Linked DNA regions of Rhinolophus ferrumequinum. The protein of the gene in region 1 interacts with the protein of each later gene in a biochemical or structural test. Links are inferred from orthologs where the notes say so. Each region holds a gene or a part of one and is shown in the gene's direction. Other genes may lie near its edges. The genes, in order: FBXO7, UXT and PINK1.

Region 1 (7,300 bases):
TATTTCTTCAAATAGGTTCCAGATATCTTCATTTGGTCCATGGATTGGATTTTAATCACTTCAACAACTTCTGAAGATTCTCTTTCTAAGTTATGGTTCTAATTTCAAGTCACAACATTTTTGAAAGCCCATTTCAATTTATCACCAAGCATAGGTACCTCAAAGTCTTTTTATCAGTGTTAAAAAAAACAACAACAAAAAAAGCCCCGAATAACCACAGCAAGACAACATGGTATAGACAAGTGGTTTCCAAAGGTTTCACAGTAGCATTACCTAGAAATCATTAAAATGCAAATTCTCAAGCCTGTTAAATTAGAAACTCTGGAAGTAGGACTGAGCAATCTCTCTTTTAAAATGCTCTCCAGGTGATTCTAAGATTAAAGACTATAAACTGTTGGTATGTAGATACAAGCTCAGAATCAAAAAAATGAATTGGATTTGTAAGAGAACACCCAAACTAAGGCCAACCTGACTTTCCCTGGTAGAGACAGAAGGAGGGTCTTACTTTTCCAAACAGATATATTAAGAACTCAGAGACAAGCATGAATGTATCACTTTAAATCTTGCTTTACCAGTCCTGACACTGGACGTGGGGGTTGAGGGTTGTTGAAGATAGATTGAGACCCGCCCTTTCCCCTTGAGAAACTCATAATCTAGGATTCAAGAAAACCTGGTGTACAAATAATTGCACAGTGATTGATGGGCAACATGGAAAAGTATGTTCCCAGTGCTCTTGGAGCAAAAGGAAGGAGAAACACACTCTGCTTAGAAAAAGGAAAGGAAAGGGGTTCCAGATAGAAGGGTTGGCACTGCACAAGCTCAGAGGCATGCAAATCCACTTGGTGGGAGAAGATACAAGGGGGAGGGGGAGGCATTCTGAAGTAGTGCAGTGCAAACAGACTGTAAGGGTCACTGGGCAGATTAAAGAAAGTGGTTTCCAGCTGGATTATGAAGGGTTTTTGTCAAGCGCCGAAACTGACTTCTATCCAGAAAACTAAAGGAAACTCAAGCTAAGAAAACAAACAACCCAATTAAAAATGATATAAACAATGATTGAATAAATAGAGAATAGATAAATCTCTTGTGCTGAAGAAATTCAAATCACTTATGTAGAGGCTTCACCCCTAAGGAGATGGAGCATAACTCCTACTCTTCATGTGTGGGCTGCACATAGTGGCTATTTTCCAATATTTCCAATGGGTACGATATGAAAAGGAGAAAAAAGGAGTAACTTTACAGTGGAGAAGCCAAGTGGTCGGGGTTCTCACCAACAGTGAGAAGCCACATTGATAGTATGTACTGTTGATATGATGTGATCGGAACAGCTCTTTACTACAATGGATGTCCTCCCAGGAGCTCATTCCCTCAGCCACATCATGAGAAAATATCAGACACATCCCAATTGAGGACCATTTTACAAACTACCTGAACATGAATCCTTAAAACTGTCAAGGTCATAAAATACAAGGAAAATCTAAGAAACTGTCACAACCAAGAGGAGCCTAAAGAAACATGACAATTAAATGTAATGTGGTATCCTTGATAGGATCCCAGAACAGAAAAGGGACATTAGGTTAAAAACTAAGGCAATCTGAACAAAATATGGACTTCAGTTAATAAAAATATGTTAATATTGGTTCCTTGATTATGACAAATGTACCATACTAATCTGTTAATAATAGGGAAAATTGGGTATGTGGTATATGTCTTCACAATAATTCTTTAACTCAAAAACTGTTCTAAAAAGCATCCAGGGAGCCAATGAATGGAGGCCCACAGAACATTGATATTGTCCTTTTGTGGTATTCTATGAAACGGTCTGTTAAAAAAAGGAATTTAAACTTCTGAGCTCTTTGAAAGTTGTAGTGCCTGTTGCTTGCAGACATTAAGATGACATCCTGCAAAAAAGAAAAAAAAAATCTCAAGGAGGGAGACGGTTGAGAGAAGGGGTGTGTAACATGTTCATGGACTTTTGAAGTTTTGGAGGCTAGTCCTCCAGAGTACCTTAAATCCTGGCAGTTTCTTGGGAATGCTCTGGCTCCCTTCTAGGATCTTCCTGCTCTCCTGTGATTGGATTACTTCTGCGATCCCGGTGTTTACAGTCTACTGGGCAAAGGATTGAGACAATGATCCCAGGTGGATTCGTTTTCTATTGTTGGAACAAATGACCACAAACGTAGTGGCTTATCTCACTGAAGCTTTCCAACACAGCTGTCTAAAATATTTTTGTTACTTTTTCATTTTTATAGATAGTAACTTATCCAGGTTTGCATAGTATTAAGAGGTGGACTGTGGTAGACGGTCTCCAAAGAGGGCCACCATGTCAACCTTGTACTGCTTTCTCCAAGAATGTTATTTCAGAGAGAAATAAACTTACATTTGTTTAGGTCACTATTATTTCAGATCTCTGTGAGAGCACCGAAGCTGCATTCTAACTAATACAACCTCAAAACATAGTCATTTTCAAGTTCTATTATTTCTACCTCTGTAACATCATTCCTGTCCCTCCCATTCTCTCCGTTCCCACTGTCATTCCACTCATTTCTTTCTTTTTCTGTTTCCAAAAGAGCCTCCTAACTGAGCTGGTCTCTAATCCAGTGGTTCTCAAGGCAATTTTGCCTCCTAGGGGATATTTGGCAAAGTTTAGAGACATCTTTGCTTCTCACAACTGGGCGATGGGGGTTCTACAGGCATTTTGTGAATAGAGACCAGCGATACTGCTAAACATCCTACAAGGTGCAGAATAATCCTCCATGACAAAAACTTATGAGGCCTCAAATGCCAGTAGTACTGAGAAATCTTGATCTAATATGTCCTCCACACTCTATCCGTGATAGGTTCACGTTTCAGATCTGACCCATGCTCCTTGTAGTGTACACCTGTCAGACGCATGGCTTCCTACCATCTTTTGAACAGCCTTCTTATATTTTGGGAAATTCCAATATTTTACGTTCCACTTCCCCAGGAAAGTAGTTTGGGCCTCAATTTCCAGTCTCCTTTGCAGCCAGGACTCAGGCATGGGACTTGGTCTTTCTCAATCAGATGTAGCCCTATGAACCTTTGATTTAGAAGTGAGTAAGCTGAGGAAAAAGGCTCTTTTGGAAACTTGGCATTTTGTTGGTGCAGGAGGCTGCAAAAGTGTGTGGCATTTGAAGGTGGCAGCCATTCCCCAGGGGTGATAGCAATGGCAGCAGTTTCCTCCAGTGCGGGGTGGGGTGGGGTGGCAGCAGCGATCCCAGTCATGGTAATTTCCTCATCAGGCCAGTTCTTCAGCATGGTTCTGAGCTTCATTCCTGGAAGCTTAGCCTGGAGCCACTTCTCCAGTCCTCCCCGGAATTTCCTGAGCTATCTGGTATCATTTTAACATGCTCTTTTCTGGCTTAGTGACCGGTTTAACTTCTATTGCTTAGAACTAAGACCCCTGCTAGATAAAGACGCCCCTACTTAAAACTCTCCAATAGCTTCCCATACATTCTAGAATGTGTCCCAAATCCTTCGCTTAGTCCAAGGCTATTTTGTATCTGGGGATGTACTCACTCTGTCCTTTACCCTGGCCACACCGAGACACCCTGATCCTGCCCCCTTTCCTCAATCCCATATTGTTTGCCACTAAAGAACCCTACTGGCACAGCAAAGCTCCTCAATATCTTTTAATCCCTAGGACTTTCTCTTCTCTCTTTCATAAACAAAGACACTTATTACACTCTACTGCAAGAGTTGATTCACTCAATTGTAAACTGTACCAGTAGGAACATGTCTTTTCAATCTTTGAGTCCCCAGCACCTGGGATAATATCTGGCACAAAGGTGATCAATACATTTCTTTAATGAATCAGGATGTGGGCAAGTACCGCCACCTATTGGGAGAAACTTTATTCAACTCTTAAGATTTGGACAATACAGGGATAAATTTTGGATACTTTTCCCCTCACCTAAGCTATCATCGTCGTCATTATTGTCAGGTCCTATATGGTAGCCAGCCTCCCAGATGGCACCCTGTGATCCCTGACTATTGACTGGGATTCATGCCTTAGGGTTGATCCTCCCACACTGAAGGCTTGGTTTGTGATCAGTAGAATATGACAGAAATGATGGTATGTGACCTCTGAGGCTAGATCATAAAAGACGTTGTGGCTTCTGCCGTAGTCTCTCTGGGGTCACTTGCTCTGAGGGAAGCCAGATGCTATGTCATGGGGACACTCAAGTGGCCTTACACGGAGGTCCATGCGGTGAATAACTAACCTCTCCTGCCAACAGTCGTGAGTGAGCCATCTTGGGAGTAGATGCTCCAGTCCCACTCAACACTTCAGATGACTGCAAACTTGGCCTACATCTTGACTGTAATCTCATGAGGCCAAGTCAGAACCACCCTGCTAAGCCAGGCCCAAATTCCTCACCTGTAAAAACTATGGGGCAGTAAACACATGTGGTTTTCAGCTGTTAAGCTTTGGGGCGATTGCTATGCGGCAACAGGATACTAACACACTCTCCGACACACGTAGATCACTGATCACAAGCTGGTTCACATTTTGCTGTAACAGGAGCAAATGACCAGAGCCTGAACTCAACCTTAGGCTTCTCAGAGCAGATGCCGCAGGAACTGAGCGCCGCGGCAGAACTGGGCTAAGAACCAGGCACACCTTAACCTGGCGGAGAGGCGAGGTGTGTCGTCTGCAGCATCCCTCTCAGCGCTACCATTCTCCAGGTACACCTGGAAGGCATGGGCACAGCCAAGGCGTGCAAGAACCTCGCGTGACACCCGCAGCCCGCGGCAGGCTCGGCGCCTGCGCAGCGCGCTCCTCGAGCTCCCAGGTGGCGCCGTTGAGCGCCGAGTCATCGATCGTCAAGTTCCCGAGCACCCTGGCTCCGGGCAGGACGCCAGCCGCCCGCTCGCGGGGTGAGCTCCAGAGGGCGCCCTCAGGAGAGGGGCCGAGTGCTCCGCTTCAAGAGACCCGCCCGCAGCGCGGCCGCCGCGGCGGGGCCTTCTCCCCGTTACCCCTCAGCACCCCTCCAGCACCGGTAGTCGCCGTTTCGGCGCCGCCGCCGCTTGAGACGGGAGCTGTCCGGCCGCGCCGCCGTCACCGTCGCCACCTCCGGGTCCAGGCCCTTGGGCCCCGCCGCCGCCGCCGCCATGAAGCTGCGGGTGCGGCTTCAGAAGCAGACCTGGCCGCTGGAGATGCCCGAAACGGAGCCCACGCTGGGGCAGCTGCGTGAGCACTTGAGCGAGGCCCTGCTGCCCACCTGGGGGTACAGGTAAGCGGCTGCGGCGGGCGCACGGCGGAGAGGCGCTGGCGCGCCTCGGGCTGCGGGAGGCGTGCCGGCGGGCGCGGGCCTGGCCGTCACGTGCGGCGGGCAGTGGCCGCCGCGTCGCGGGTCTGACGCCCCGGGACTGTGACGCACACAGACCGGGCGGAGAGCGGCGCTGGGGTCCCGGCTCGCGGAGAACATGGCCCAGCGTCGCGGGGGCTCCGTGCCCCTCCAGGGTGAGCCGTCGCTTCCGTTCTGGCAGTAACAGAACCCAGGAGTAGGCTAGCACGCGACACCGTTCCGCCCTTTCCAATGTAAAGTTGGAAATTATGGATTTGGTTTGGGTTAAACCTTTCCAGGCTCTCAGGGGTTTAAATTCACCAACTCCAGCTGATGGGGTAGTTAGTTGAAAAGTTTGGGAAGTATTAGGAGGAGTTCGCAATCGGCCCTCCCTCCGAGGCCATCTGAAACTTGTGCCGCCGCTGTGAGGCTGCAGTAATCTTAAGACTCCATTGAACGTTTACGTGCCAGGCGCCGCGGTGCCCACTTTGACTTACCCGCCGCAAAGTTTTACAAAGTGCGGCGCGTCGGCGTGTCTCAAATCATATGATTATCCTGGGCGAGATGCTGCTTTTAGCTAAAACTAAGGCAAACGCAGGCCTTATGATGACTCTGGAGAGTTTGCAGTTTGGGAGCAGTGACATTAAGAAGTAAAGGATCAAATTCTGTTATTCATTTATGGGGCTGCAGATGAGGCTGCTTTGTTTCCACAGGGTATTTTCTGGGGACAATATTCTGGGAATAGAGGGGCAAAAGTAACGGTGGCCCTCTTCAAATACGGAGCTAGAAATTTGGAATTTTGTACTAAGGAAAGAATAAAAAAGATGTTCGCTGGGGTTTTTTAGGTGAATTCTTCACAAGAAAACCTTTGTTATTTAAGTGGCTCTTTTTATAAGACTTTTACAAACTAAAATTTTATTTTTAGGAAATTCAATAAAATGAGCCATATTATGAACTTCTCACCCATTCATTTTTCAGATTAAGGCATTATTACATTAAAAATAAGCCTCATTTTTTTTTCCAAATTACGAGAAATAAAAACAAAATGCGGTATTGACATAACCCCTTTAAACATTATATTAAGTGACATACCTATTGTTATTCCTTGGTGTTAAACCTAAGTTGTTTTGCATGCTGGCATCACTACCCTTCCACAATTTTTCAGAATTAACTTCTCTTTTTAAGGTATTTTAATCTACATGTGTATATATTTTGTTATTTAATTAGGCTCGAAAGCATGTGAAACCCAATGACGCTTTGTTTACCCAAGGGCCCCAGTTAGTTTCTCTTTCAGGTTTGTTTTTACCATTGAGGGTGGTTAACTGGAAAGAATATAAACTTCAGCTTGTGAAAGGAAATTCACTCTTCTGAAGTATGTTCATTTTATGATAAATGGTCAGTTTTAAAATGTCCATGTGACATTATTTTTAAAATGTCTTTGCTGAGCAAGTAGATCTGGGGTTGCCGTAAAATATTTTAAAAAATATTTTATTTCCTGATGAACAAGTTTCTTTTTCTTTTTTTCCCCCACAATTTCAGAAAACTTTTTTTTAAAGCCTCTCCTGGAAAACCATGTATTATTTTAGAAATAGCTCTTCCCTTTTTCTATAGGGAGGAAGGCTTGACATTTTTATTAAGCAGACAATTCTTTACTTTTTCTATAAATAGATATTTGAATGAACGTTGTATTAAAAAAAACACAACCTTTTGCTGTGACAAATGATCCATAAACACGTAGTTCATTTGAGGTGTTTCTCTTTTTTTCTACCAAAGTTGGGGTGGTATTTTTCTGGGCAGCTGGCAGATTTCAACATTTATCAAAGCGTTTGAAAATAGGAGCATGTAGCTACTTATTTTCTAATAAGCAGGAATAGTTTCTAAAACCTCAGTAATTTTTCAACCAAAGACACTCTAATTGGTAAGAAAAAATGTCTTTATAGGTGAAAGAAAAAACTGAATTTTTTTCAGCACTTTCGAAAATGCAGCTTTGTAAG
Region 2 (7,902 bases), on another chromosome or scaffold:
CCAATCAGGCTAAGACCATCTGGGACTAATTTGTAGTTTGACAGATTCATCCGTCAATAAGGGAGACCACACACCAGAGGAACATGGGGTGGCTCAGTAAACAAAGGAAAAGATAGAGTTTAGAGTTATATGATTCTGAGGAATGGTGAAGTTCAGATGAAATGTAAATAAAGCAGTGTTTTGATAAGCTCAAAGCAAACCAGGCTATATGTGTACTGCAAAGTGAACCCAGAGTCCTGCTTCCTTGGAAACAATAAAGTTAAGATAGATGTAGAATATTGTAGCTAGATACCCCTTATCTCTGCACCAGTGTTGGAAATCATGGCTGCTTCTTTTTGACCTAAGTGGCTTAGAATCTCCAGCAACAGTGGGATGCCTCATTAGTACATTTCAGACAGCAGTTTCTGATAGTAGTCTGTAATTGTAGAGAACAAAGTTTCTCAGTAACTAAGAGAGCAGTAGTCACTCATAGTAGGAGTTCTTTATGGCATTACAGTTGCAGCATGTCCTTAGGAGAAATAATGTTTCCTGTTAATTTTGTATCTGGCTTTATATCTGTTCTCCCAGTCTGATGAATGGCAGGGCAGGTTTTTACAGTCCGAGCTAATTTTTGCTTTCTTAGAGTGTTGGTCTGTAATTATCCCAGATTCTCTTTCTAACCCTATAGCCCTGCTCTGGGTGTTTGTTGAATAAACACATGAAAGAAGAAATGGAATCAGTGGAAGCACACTTGGCATGCATACACTTCTAATAGAGTGCCAGGAATCATTGTTACTGTTGTTGAGTGTCATAAAACTACTAGGTTATGTTTAAAAAAAAAAAGATAGGTCTATCTTTTAGACCATTTCAGAAAAGAAGGGAAGGCAGAGCCAATAAATATATGAAGAGATGTTCAAAGCCATTAGTGATCCAAGAAATGCAAATCAAGACATGTTGTGACATTTTACACCCATTCAATTTGCAAAAATTTAAGTCTGACAATACCAAGTATTGGAGAGGGTGTGCACCCACGGGATCTTTCTGCCCTGTTTAAGGAATGTAAATCAGTGAAACCACTTTAGAAAATATTTGGCATTCCCTCGTACAGTGAATATTTATATACCTTACAATCTGGCCAGTCCACTCTTAGGAATATATCCAAGAGGAACACTTGCACATGAAACCTAGTGTATGCATGGCATCCTGTTCACAACAGCAAAACCTGGAAACAAAAATGTATGCTCATCAACAGGAGTTAAAATGAATGAACTAGAACAATATGGATGAGCATTAAGGGGAAAAATCCTGTAATTCCTGAAAGATTATATAAAGCATACACACTTCTATAAAATTAAACGTTATTAGTATAAAGAACATGCACTACTTAGTATTTTGTGTAGAGGAAATAAAATTATATAAAAAGGAAATTTAAAAATTAATGAACTTGGGATTCAGAATGATGTTTACCTCAGTTGAGGGGAGGCAGGGCAATGAATTGGGGGACCACACGAATAGATGGAGGCTATTGTCAAGGCCTTTTCTTTTAGGTGATAGGTGCATACGTGCTAATTATATTATTAAAACTAACTAAATATTTCAATTAATTGGGAAAATTCAACCGTTTGTCACATAAATATCTTAATATAAGAAGAGAAAGTCTGTACGGAGAAAAGTGTTGTCCTTTCCTTGAATGGGGCAAGGAAATCTTTAGTCACAGACCAGAAATGCCACCTAGTGGTAGGATGAGCAGGGAGACAAGAGCTTTATGGTCTTGACATTTACTGAGGCCCCTGCCATATACGAGGTATGATCAAACAATACGGTGAATGCTGCTGCCAAGTGCCATCCAACAAAAAGGCAGCGATCTTCAATACCAGAAGTGGCGCGTCAAACCTTAGTAACAGTGTGTGACAAGTTTCAACTTGTTCGGTGCAGTCAGTGGGGTATGAGCTACAGTTGAGAGGTGTGTTTTAAAGTGTGCCGTAAATCATTGATCATGAACAACGCATGGAATTTTGTTTCAAACTGCAAAAAAAGTGCTAAAGAAACACACAAAATGTTAAAATTAGTTTATGGTTATGTTGCACTGACCATGATCTGGCTCTTCCCCAAAGTCAAAATGACCATGAAAGGTAAACGTTTTTGAATCAATTCAGGGTATCAAGGAAGCCACGGCAGCACAACTAAAGATACGACAGACTTCCAGAACCGCTTCAGAAAGTGGCAAGAATGATGGGATAAGTGTGTTCGAAGTGAGAGGGAATATTTTGAGGGGGATTAATTGCAATGTGTCTCTTACTGTAATACATTTTATTTAAACATTCACCATAGTTTTTTATCACACCTCATATGTTCTGGTTCCATGGCTCACTCCATCATGCCACTCACATATCTGTTCAAATGTCTTTTCTTCACATGTCTTTCTTCCCTGACCTACCCCACCACTGTAGCGCCTTGCCATGCCTTAGTTTTCTTCATAGCCTTCCTTTTTATCAGAAATTATCTTATTTATTTACTGTTTACTCATTTGTTTGTTCGTGCTGATAATACAATGATTTCTGCTTCTCACATATGTGGAGTAATCAACTGCTTTGTTTTTGGTATCTTTACCACACTTACAGAGAGCGTCAAAACACGCACACACACACACACACACACACACACACAGGATTCATTTTCCTAAAAGATTAGTAATTCCCTCCAAAAGACTCGGCAAGCATCCATCTCTGGATGACACAACTAATTATAAAATTGATTTGGCATCAGTAATTCAGGAAATGCTAAATAGATGAAGAACTTATAAGTATATAAGACTCTATTTGTTCCTTCATCAAATATTTATTGATCACCAGTCAATGCCCTTGGTACTTAATGTTTAGTAAAACAAAAGAGCCCCCAAACCTCTAACTTGTGGACCCGGCATCCTAGTGGAGGAGAGCTAATAAACAATATTTGTTAAAAGGGGATAACTGCTGAAGGAGGGTGGATAGGGCAGTGACATAAATTGGAAATTCTGGGGGACTGCCACTTTAAATGGGAAGATCAGTGTCTCCCGTTATCCATTTATACTCTACCACTGATTGTCCTGCATCCTGGACAGGCTTCATATCATTTCACCCATATACTTAGGTATAAATCTCTAACATATGAAGGTGCTTTTCTTCCCTTTTCTATTTCTTTCTCTCCTCCTTCTTCTTTTAATATAACCACAGTACCATCATCAACCCAACAAAATTAACGATAATGCTGGAAATGTTTTTAGACATGAATGTGTGCTAGCAAGCTTCCACAGATTCAATTTCTTCTTTTATTTGTTCACTCAACAAAAAATTATCCAATCCAAGGCTGTGGGAGAGTCAGAGGACTGTTCGGTAATCAGAGTCCAGCCCTCTACTGTCCAGAATGTTGAACTGAGGCCCAAAAGCCTGTGATTGGTCTAAGGGCACAAAGATAGAGGACACCAGAACTCAGGACCAGGTCCTTTCAAGAATCTTTCATCACCTGCTGGGTCAGAGGGGCCTTCAGCTGGCATGGACTCTCCTATCAGTCAACGAGGGCTTCACATTGGAGGTGTGTGGGCTGGGTTTTAAGATTATGTAGCAGTTCATCCATTGAAGGGATACACTGGATTGTTCCTGTGACATCTTCCAGAGGGGCAATGGCATCTCCATAATTTCCATATTTGAGGTGCTAAGGAGCAGCAAACTCGTTGTGGGGCAGAGTTGGAAATTTGTCCTAATGCAGTATTTGCATAATCGTTACTTAGATTTTACTTTACAAGGAACTATAAATAATAAAGTATCCTAGAAGATGCTTTTAGTGACACATTACATTAGAGAAAACAACCATTGGCCCTATCAATTTAAAACGTATTTTTATTTTTTTAATTTATTTTTTAATTACATTTATTGGTTGACAATGGTTAGTAAAATTACATAGGTTTCAAGTGTACAATTCTATAATACGTCATCTATATATCACATTGTGTGCTCACCACCGAGTCAGTTCTCATTCTATCACCATATAGTTGACCTCCTTTACTCCCTTCTATCACCCCCCCCCCTTATTTTTATTGATACCTGTTATCACTTCAGTTGGGTCGACCTGGCTACTGTGGGGGCTGATTGAGATTATGGGCAGGTTTAGGTCCTCATTCCCCTGCCTCAGCTCAGTGGGACTGGACGCTACCACTCCTACTTCTGTGCCCTCTCTCCTCATGGTATCTCCCAGGACCCGGACCTTACCGCTCCTACAGCATCCCTTCAAGAACACTCCATAGTATCGCCCAAGTGGGGGGGAGGTTCCATCGTGACATTTCTCCCCTCTCCTCCAGTGGTATCTCCCAGACTCTACTCTTCCTCTTTTCATAGTAAGGGCTCCCCCTCAACCCTGTGCCTTGTTATTAGGTACAGGTGTGTATATTTTTTTGGAATTAGGCTCTAGAAGTTGAGTTCCAGAGCCTAACTCCAAAAATGCCTGTCCACCAGGAAATTTACCCAAAGAAGGGCAGGCTACCTCTTCTCAGGGCAGCCCCACTGTTCTGCAGCGTGAGGCAGGAGGCAACGGCTTCTTCCACTGTACGGCTGGCACACCTGTCCAAGATGGCAGTGCCCACAGAGCAGCGCCGCTTGGGTGCAGCCATATTCCGATCTCAAAAAAGCAGCGGATGGCAAGAGAACTATGGCAGACGCCGGTGACTGCGCCCTGATGATTGCGCAACTCAACTTCGCAGGTACTTTTGAGCGTGCGCATCAGACACCCAGTCTCCCGCCAGGTAGACACCCTGGCGTTAGAGGTCAGAACTCGAAAGGGAAGCGTTTCTCAGGACCCAGGTGCTAGCGCCTGAGCCGTGCTGCGGTAATTTTGAAGTGGTTGGCTACCCAGGTACTGTGGGCTGAGTGATGGGGGCCAGGATCTGGGTCGATGGTGGGACTTCTGTGGTTTCAGTGATGGGGTCTTTTATATCGGATGCTCAGCTAATTATTAGTCAGCCTTTCTTTTTCTAATTAAAGCATTAGGACCATACATTTCCATCTAAGACCCAAAAGATATGTTGTATTGTATTATCGTTATTTCTCATGTCTAAGTATTTTTAAATTTCAGTTAAGATTTTTTCATTTCACACGTGTCATTTTGAAGCGCATTTCTGTTTGCAATAAACAGTACTACTGATATTGATTTCTAATCTGATTTCTCAGTGGTCAGATAAGTGAATTGTGTCATGAACATTCCTTGAAATCTGTGGAGACTTGCCGAGTGGCAAAGTCCTTTGTATCTTTCCATGAATGCTCCATCTATCGCGTCAAAAGAATGTGTTCTCAAAAGAAAAAAAAAAAAAGAATGTGTTCTCCAACTGTGAATTGTGTTCAAAATTTGTATACGCTCTCTGATTTTTTTTTCACTTACTCGTTCTGTATAGAGCAGCGTGATGGTGATTTGTGCATTTCTCTTTGCTTGTGTCAACTTTTGTTGTACTTGAACCTTATTATTAGGTACAGATGTGCATATTTTTATCATTAATTAATTAATTTATTTTTATTAGTTTCAGGTGCATAAAACAAAGTAATAGTTAGAAATTTATCATTTATATCCCACACAGTGACAACCTCCCTCCCCCATCAACTAACCCTCTGACATCGCACACAGCCATGACATTTCCACTGTCTCTGTTCCTAATGCTGTACTCTGCTCTCTTGTAAATATATATATATATATATATATATATATATATATATATATATATATATATAAAATTGTAGTTGACATTCATTATTGTTTAGCTTCAGTTTCAGGTGTACAGTGCAGTGATCAGGCATCTACATCATCCCTGAGGTGGTCTCCCTAATGAGACAAGTGTCCATCGGATACCCTACAAAATCTTTACAACATTATTGATTACATTCCCCAAATTGACTTTCGTATCCCCGTGGCAATCTTATGGTTACTGATGGTACTTTCTAATCCCCTCACCTTCCCTCTTATCCCCACCCCCCCTCCCATCTAGCAACCCTCAGTGTGCATATTTTTTTAAATAGACATTGCTAATGACTCTCAAAAATGTTATATATATATTACATGTATGCATATAATGCATATAATACATATAATACATATATGTGTATATATACATGAATGTATAATAAATATTCCACCAGAAATGTATAAATAACCCATTTTCCCAAATCCTCTCCAGCACTGGATGATGTTGTTCTTTTTCATTTTTTATCATTTGAGGGCTGAATAATTATATATAGTTTTTCTGTTTTACTTTTTCCACCTATTAAGTGAGGTTGAGCATCTTTTCCAGTTAATTGGGCGTTTGGATTCCTTCTGTGCATTTTCATATCCTTTGTGCATTCCTCCTCTCTCCCTTGGCTTTTACATGATAAACTTTCCTGGTCTCCCTCATTGAGTATTACTAGTGTCATATCTATTCCCATACATATTAAGATCAATTTCTGGACATTTTCTTATATTTCACTAGCCTATTTATCCCTGTTTTGATTGCATTAGTTTTCATTGTTAGCTTAATATCTGCTAGTCCCAGCACCCTCTCAGTATTCCCTTACATAATCTTCTTGGCTATTTATACTTCCATATAGAGTTTGAAATTGTTTTACCAAGTTGAAAAAGAATTGGAATTCTGATGGACACTTCATTACTTCAATAGAGTTAACATCGAAGCAGTGATATTTTTGTTTTTACTATATTCCTATCCAGGGATATGGTCTGTCTCTCCATGTACTTACATTTTGCGTTATATTATAGAATAACTATTAGTTTTCTTATTTTAAGTCGAGCATCGTTCTTGTGTTCATTTTTAGGTATTCTGTGTTTATTGTCCTTATTGGAAATAGGATATTTTTTCCCTTTTCTGTTTCAATCTGCTGTATTTATTTTCTTGTACCCTACCACCTTATCAAAATTCCCTGTGCTAGGTTTCTGACTATACAATGATGTCACCAGCAAATAAAAATGATTTTCTCCCCCTTCTCAGTATTTAGCCAGTTTATTTCATCTTCATATTTAATGTCATTAGCTAGAGCTTTGAAAACACTGTTGTGAGGGGAGCAACCCAATGTTGTTGCTAGTTTTAATGGAAACGTCTTCAGCATTTTACCTTCTAATGTTATGCTTCCTGATTATCTCCAGACTATGATCTTGGCTGAATTTTCATAGTTTCTTTCTAGCCTTGTTTTCATTTGAGAATTACTGCTGAATTGTGTCAAATACCTCTTTTTTCATATACATCGATACAATTGTGTTGTTTTTCTCCATAATTTGTTGATGTAATACATAAATTGATAATTGTACTAACATTAACCACCTTTGTCTTACTGGAAAACCCAATTTGGTCTTGGGATAAATTTTTATTTTCATACTAGCTGGATTCAAATTGCTAATATTTTATTTAAGATCTTTGCATCTATAAGACAAAATAATCTGCAGATAACTGCTTCTTTGTATTAGAACTATATATGTATTTTTTTTAAGATTTTTTTAAAGATTTTTTTTTTTTATTGGGGAAGGGGTACAGGACTTTATTGGGGAACAGTGTACTTCCAGGACTTTTTTCCAAGTCAAGTTGTCCTTTCAATCTTAGTTGTGGAGGGTGCAGCTCAGCTCCAGGTCCAGTTGCTGTTGCTAGTTGCAGGGGGCTCAGCTCACCATCCCTTGTGGGAGTCGAACGGGCAACCTTGTGGTTGAGAGGGTGCGTTCCAACCAACTGAGCCATCTGGGAGCTCAGCAGCAGCTCAGTTCAAGGTGCCGTTTTCAATTTTAGTTGCAGGGGGCGGAGCCCACCATCCCTTGCAGGACTCAAGAAATTGAACTGGCAACATTGAATGGCAACATTGTGGTTGAGAGCACACTGGCCCATGTGGGAATCGAACCGGCAGCCTTTGGAGTTAGGAGCATGGAGCT
Region 3 (6,957 bases), on another chromosome or scaffold:
TCCCTGCAATTCTTACTGGAAGACTCTGTGTAGAAGACTCTTTGCTTCCAGCCAGATGGCTGCTGAAGAATCCAGCTTCATGCTGTGCTTGGTTCAGATCTGTCCAAACAACTTAGAGTTTTCTACAGAAGAAGTGAACCAGTCTAGTGCCATCTTGACCAAAGTCCAGCATTCTCTGTTGAACAAGAAACTACACAGCCTACAATGGTCTGGAGATTTGATTTCCACAGGTGGGTGGGTTAAGCATCACAGGTCTGGCAAGTGTATTTGCAGCTTAGAGGACTAAATCCAAAGGTTGATAACCAATGCACTCTTGAACTTAAAACAACTAATACAATGTCCCTTTAGGTAATATGTCTTACTATTACCAGACTCAGGCCCGGCACTGCTTGTCAACACCAAGAACCTGAATGACAACGGTTGATGAGAAGAAAAGCGTACTTTATTCTAGATGCCGGCAGCTAGCGAAGAAGGCAGACAAACGTCCAGAAAAAAAAACACCTTTTCGGAACTGAGAATAATCAAGAGGTTTTATAATCAAGCAGGCGGGTGGGGGAAAGAACAAAGAAAAGTGGGAGTTGGTCATGTAAATGTTTCAGGGCTGACAGTTGAGAAATTGCCTCCCAGGGCCTGGTCTGAGAAATCGCCTCCCATGGACTGGTCTGCTTCATAATATTATCTCGAAATCAGTAGCCGGGGCTGGAGTGTTTCGTGCATCATCAGCAAAAATTGCAAGGGAGTTGCAACCATGGATCCCGGTGTCCAGGCGGCAGAAAATTGAGAAATTGTTCTTTCCAGGTTAATGTTCTGCTGATTAATTAGATCAACAAGGTATGTATAGTCTTCAGAAAGGGAACAGAGCAGAGTTATTAAATCAGGCAGTGAGGGCAAAAACCAAAGAGAAAACAGCTGAATATCAGGAGGCTAAATAGCGAACTATGAGGAGATCCAAACTGCAAACTAGATAAATCTGTGTTATTGATTCCCAAGTTTCACCCTTACAGTACCAGCTATGTAGTTATCTCTAGCCTCATGGCAAAATGTTACATTCCTAGGAAAGAAAATTCTCGTAGTTAAAACTAAAGGTCTTAGAAGATCTCTTGTTCCCTCTCAGTAAACACTAAAGTGCTGTACTGATAATGACACATAGCAGATGAATAGACTTAAACTTTAAACGAGTCCTTTGCCCCAACTGAATTTCTTTCTAGACAGTGAAGTTTCTCTGATCCTCTCTTTCATATCTTTCTCTAAAGGACAATTTCAACAGAGCATTTTAAACTGTAATTTAAAATTCCCTGAGATCAACCAAAAAAAAATTAAAGACAATATCTGATTTCCACGTGCCTCTGTGTCAACATATGAAACGTCCAAATCTGTAGAGAATTTTTATGAGTTTATTTGGGCCAAACTGACAACAATTGCCAGGAAGCAAAATCTCAACGGATTGAGAAAATGCTCTGGAGAATGGCAGTTTTGCAGCTTTATTTTATACATTAGAATCAAAGGAGGAGACGTAAAGAGGGTTACATGAAATCCATTGGTGGTAGATTAAGGGGGCGGGAGAAAGCAAAGCAGGGAAGTCTCTGGGATTGGATAAAAAGTAAAACAGAGAGACATACTTCTTTTACATTGGTGGGTACAGGATAGTTCATAATGAACAGTTATAGCACATAGAGATGGTATTCGGGGAACAAGATAACAGTGAGGTGTTCTGTGGGTCTCTTGCTCTGGTCTGAGGGGTCTGGAAAAGGAGAGTACACTGACATTCCAAGGGCTCGTTATCTTAGGTGCAAAAAGACAATAGACAGGCTCACTTAAGGTAAAGATTGACCTTTTTGTCAAGGAAACTACAGGCATAGGACATGACTACCCATCATGCCTAGCTTTTATTAGGAATTTTTATATTCAGCCCATCCTGTGTAGTTACTTTCAGTCTTTGAGTTTGTAAGGCCTGCCATGCTGGCCTCCCCTGAGCTCGTCAGGTTTAGTGTGTGCCCTCTTTTTTGTCCATATCTGTAAATAAATTGGAAAGAAATTGATTTATTTATCTATTTATGTCTCTCCCAAATAAATGTCATTGGATATCACAAGGGCCCTGCAATTTCTCCCCATGAGAGCAATCAGAACACATACACATACACTGTTGAATCAGTTGTCCACCTGTCCCTAGCCAGGGATCCACCATATGACCAAGCAAGCCTGGGGGGCCAGAACTCTTCAGATGATCGAAGACTTCCTCCAGCAACAGCTACCATCTACATGTACTTCGATTTAGTATTTAAAGAGGAAGCAAGAGATGTGAAACTGAATATCAACAGGATAGTAACTAATATTATGGAATTAATGTTAATCTTTTAGAGGTGACACTGTTTATGATTTTTAAAAATAGTTCTTATCTTTTAGGTGCTCGTAGATACCGAAATGTTTATAAATGAAATAATACATCTGGGATTTGCTTTAAAGTAAGGGGGGGTAGTAGAAAGGTATTGTTAAAAAACAAAATTCAACCAAGTAAATCTGAAGATCTAATTGACTTTATTAAGTGATTCATGAATCAGGCAACATCCCCTCCAGTAACTAGAAGAGAGTGCTCCCAAGAGTTGTATAAAATGGAAAATTTTTACAGGAAGCGGAGTGGGGCAAGGAAGCTAATAATGGAAGAAAAGGATTATTTTGTGACAGGGACATCTTTTCTGTGGGAAAGTGAAGGGTTTTATTATGTAGATTGTCCCAATGGAGAGGGCTTACAAGTATGTTACCTTATTGGGGCTTGACCAGAAAATTCCATATTGGTTGATTATGTTTCTGGGAGAAGTCGAAACTGCAATTAGATCTGGTATTAAATATGGGTTTGGTATCATGGGCTTTTAGCATCAGTGATACCATGTGGGACCTGTTTTTTCTTTTCTTTAACAGTATAGATAAATAAACTAATGACCGTTTGTTGATAATTTGTTGAAGCAGGTGAATGTGTACATAGGGTTCACTATACTATTTTTGTGTTTGAAATTTTCCGTTTTTAAAAAAAGGCAAGAAACGGGCGGCTGGATGGCTCAGTTGGTTAGAGCGTGAGCTCTTAACAACAAGGTTGCCAGTTCAATTCCCGCATGGGATGGTGGGCTGCGCCCCCTGCAACTAAGATTAAAAACCGCGACTGGACTTGGAGCTGGGCTGTGTCCTCCACAACTAGATTAAAGGACAACTATTTGAAGCTGATGGGCCCTGGAGAAACACACTGTTCCCCAATATTCCCCAATAAAAATTTTTTTTAAAAAGGCAAGAAAAAAAGAAATCACTCATTATAAATCCTTTCATCAGCATTTCTAACAGTGGGTTTGGGTAACAGGGCTCTGCCACCAACAAGCTGTGACTGGGCAAATCCTTCCATGTCTCCGGAATTCAGCTCACTCATCTGAAAAATGTCGTTCATCTGAAAAATGTCGCCTTTGGGTGGGATTTCTCTTGGAGTACTAAGAAGTGAGCAGGGGCTGTGCGTTTGTAGAGAGGAGCTTAAAGGCATTGGGGAGAGTAAGGACTCAATAGTTATGGCAAATGAACTTGAATGTCACCTGATTGTCACTGCCCTTTCTATGAGTCAGTTTCCTTACCTATAAAAATGATATTCCTATCTTCTTGGTGGGAATATTAAATAAATTAACAGTTGTAAAGACTCTGGCACCACGGGTGATACTCAATAAACATTAGTTTTCCTTCTCAACTTCTCGACTGTTCACAATCTGGACCTGCCTGACACGCAACCCCTCCACCCTGGGTCCAAAGTGCAAAAGGGCAAGCAACTACCCGCAGCCAGGTGCGCGCACAGCGCCCCCGCGCGCCCAGCCAGGGAACCGCCAGATCGGCGACCCCGCCCATCGGCCTCCGCGCCTGCGCAGAGGCACCGCCCCAAAGTTTCTTGTTGTGACCGGCGTCCCCGACGCCTGCGGCTGCTGGTGCACTTGGTCGCGGCGCTACTATGGCGGTGCGACAGGCGCTGGGTCGGGGCCTGCAGCTGGGTCGGGCGCTGCTGCTGCGTTTCACGGCCAAGCCTGGCCCGGTCTACGGCTGGGGGCGGCCAGAGCGGCCGGGCCCCGCGGCGGCCTGGGGCCGCGGAGAGCGCCCGGGCCAGGCCGCGGGACCCGGCGCGGAGCCGCACAGGCTCGGGCTCGGGCTCCCCGACCGCTACCGCTTCTTCCGCCAGTCGGTGGCCGGGCTGGCGGCGCGGCTCCAGCGGCAGTTCGTGGTGCGGGCCCGGGGCGGCGCGGGCCCTTGCGGCCGGGCCGTCTTTCTGGCCTTCGGGCTGGGGCTGGGCCTCGTCGAGGAGAAGCAGGCGGAGGGCCGGCGGGCGGCCTCGGCCTGTCAGGAGATCCAGGTGAGCACTGGCCGCGGACAGCGAGGATGGAGCCCAGTGTCACGCTAGGAGCGGGACTTTAAGTCGATGGGGGACGGGGCTGGGGATGTGAGCCGGGGCTTGAGCGTTGTGAGGGGCGGTGCTAGGGTGTGGGCGTGGCGAGGGGCGGGGCTGGGGGCATTGACTGACGGGGGCCCTGGATCAATATTTATCCTTGTCAGACCCGGAAATTCCTTGCAAATCACCGATTAAGGCTCATTTTCGGTGTTAACTGATCTCCTGGTATGGGGCCAGCACCTCCCATTTGTTTTACTGTCTTCCCTTCCTCAAACAGCACGTTTTGGAAGATAATGCTGCTAATTACAGCTCCTGTTGCACCATTGCTAATGACTCTGCGTAAATTTTGTAAAATTTAATGACAAGTCACAACGCTTCTATCCCTGAGGTAGTGGTCATCCCCAATTTATGGATGAGGAAACGTACTCAGAGAGGTGAAGTAACTTGCCCGAAGTCACACAGCTAATAAAGAGCAGTGCCCAAAGTCTGACTCTCCAAGGCCTGTACCCTTAACCACTGAGCCAGTCTGCCTCCACAGTTTAGCCAAACAATTAGTGACACAGCTGAAATCAAAGTAAAACCATGAACAGCAGGAGAAAATAGCACACCTAACAGTTTTTAGTCAACCTGTGAGCGTTATTAGGAGAGAGTGAATATGTTATTAGGCTCTTTTAAATGCTTAAAATAGCCCAGAGACCTCTCTCTGTTTCTCCTCTACCAAAATCTGTATTAGTCAGCGTTCTCTAGAGATACAGAACCAATAGGATGTGTTTATAGAAAAAGAGGTTTATTTTAAGGAGTTGGCTCTGCAATTCTGGAGGCTGGCAAGTCTCCCAAAAATCGTTTGGGTAGGTAGGCAGGATGGAGACCCAGGGAAGAGCCATTGTTGTAGTTCAAGTGTGAAAGCCACATGCTGGCAGAATTCTCTCCTCTTTTTGGGAGTTCAGCCTTCTTCCTGGGGTTTGGAGCCACTGTTAGTACAACCCCTACAATTGACAATTTAGGGCTGAGGTGGTGGAAGATGGAGTCACTTGCCCAAGGACACCTCTGGTTAAGGACCAAGCATGTTTCCTGGTTTCCAGCCCAGTTCTTGTTACTCAGCCAGAATGTCTCATGTTTGAGCTCAGGCTAGTTTGGGACGACAGGTGACATCTGACCTAGTCCCCAGCCACTGTCCTTGTCTTTTGCTACAGCTTAACTGGCAGAAGCCAAAGGTGGGAAATTTGATAATCCTGCTTAGAATTATGGAGGCTTTTTTTTTTTTTTAACTGAGGAGCTTGGTCCTTCTGAGCTTATTATCTGTACATCCTTTTCTTACATTTTACCCTACTGTGTCTTAAAATGTTTAATTAGTTGATGATTAATATTAAAAATTCAGGTGTTCCACTTTTGAAAATAATCACCAGCGCTGGCAACTCTAATGCTAAAATTCCATATGGTGTCAGACCAGACAAAGTAAAAGAAAGGCTACTCCTTTTAGATGGAGGCATGTGGGGAAAAAAAAAACAACAATCCAGTTATAAAATAGGCAAAAGACATGAGTGTGTATTTCACCAAGAGGAGATACAGATGCCAAATAAGTATATGAAAAGATATTCAGCATCAGGGAATGCCATTAGGGAAATGCAGATTGAAAACACAATGTGATATCACTGCATACTTATTAGGACAGCTAAAATTTAAAAAAAAAAATAGTGATAATACCAAATGCTGGTGAAGATGCAGAGAAACTGGACTGCTGGTGAGAATATAAAATGGTACAACAACTCTGGAAAATAATGAGCAGATTTTTACAAAATTAAACATGCAGTACCATATGACCCAGCCATTGCAGTCTTGGGCGTTTACCCAGAGAAATAAAAACTTGTATTCACACAAAAACCTGTACACAACTTGCTGCTATCTAAAACAGTGTGGTAGTTCCCCCAGAAATTAAAAATGAAATTATCATATGATCCAGCAATTTCACTTCTGGGCGTACACCCCAAAGAATTGAGAGCAGGGATTTGAACAGGTATTTGTACACCTGTGTTCATAGCAGCATTATTCAGAATAGTCAGAAGGTGGAAGCAACCCACGTGTGCATCAATGGATGGATAAATAAGCAAATGTGGAATATACATACAATGTAATATTCACCTTAAAAAGGAAGGAAATTCCGACATATGCTACAACATGGATGAACCTTGGGGACAATATGCTAAGTGAAATAAGCCAGACACAAAAAGACACAGTCTCAGGCTTCCGCTCATCTGCGGTACTTAGAGTTGTCAAATGCATAGAGACATAAAGTAAAATGGGGGCCGCCAGGAGCTGGAAGGAGAAGGGCTGGGGAGTTACGGGTTAATGGGTATTGAATTTGAGATTTGCAAGATGAAAAATGTTCTGGAGCTGGATGGTGGTGATGGTTGTACAACAATGTGAATGTACTTAATGCCACTGAACTGTGCACTTAAAAATGGTTTTAATGGTCAGTTTTATGTTATGTATATTTTACCACAGTTCTTAAAAAATGGTTTAAAACCCTGTACAGAAATCATAGCATCATTCAT

Evidence for each region.
Region 2: of the proteins of FBXO7 (region 1) and UXT, one has a biochemical effect on the other in vitro, tested with the Homo sapiens proteins (2 studies listed by BioGRID). The link is inferred for Rhinolophus ferrumequinum from reciprocal best matches to the Homo sapiens genes FBXO7 and UXT.
Region 3: the proteins of FBXO7 (region 1) and PINK1 form a complex in vitro, tested with the Homo sapiens proteins (2 studies listed by BioGRID, with this or other methods). The link is inferred for Rhinolophus ferrumequinum from reciprocal best matches to the Homo sapiens genes FBXO7 and PINK1.

What each region holds. Positions count from the first base shown.
Region 1 is NC_046293.1:13,034,705-13,042,004, reverse strand, and holds the start of FBXO7 (F-box only protein 7), read left to right. Parts: upstream 1-4,209; 5' UTR 4,210-5,130; coding exon 5,131-5,252; intron 5,253-5,356; exon of another isoform or gene 5,357-5,445; coding exon of another isoform or gene 5,446-5,482; intron 5,483-7,300. UniProt on the Homo sapiens protein: Substrate recognition component of a SCF (SKP1-CUL1-F-box protein) E3 ubiquitin-protein ligase complex which mediates the ubiquitination and subsequent proteasomal degradation of target proteins and plays a role in several biological processes such as cell cycle, cell proliferation, or maintenance of chromosome stability.
Region 2 is NC_046284.1:86,243,420-86,251,321, forward strand, and holds the start of UXT (protein UXT), read left to right. Parts: upstream 1-4,848; 5' UTR 4,849-4,863; intron 4,864-7,902. UniProt on the Homo sapiens protein: Involved in gene transcription regulation. Acts in concert with the corepressor URI1 to regulate androgen receptor AR-mediated transcription. Together with URI1, associates with chromatin to the NKX3-1 promoter region.
Region 3 is NC_046292.1:13,915,590-13,922,546, forward strand, and holds the start of PINK1 (serine/threonine-protein kinase PINK1, mitochondrial), read left to right. Parts: upstream 1-3,929; 5' UTR 3,930-3,973; coding exon 3,974-4,369; intron 4,370-6,957. UniProt on the Homo sapiens protein: Serine/threonine-protein kinase which acts as a sensor of mitochondrial damage and protects against mitochondrial dysfunction during cellular stress.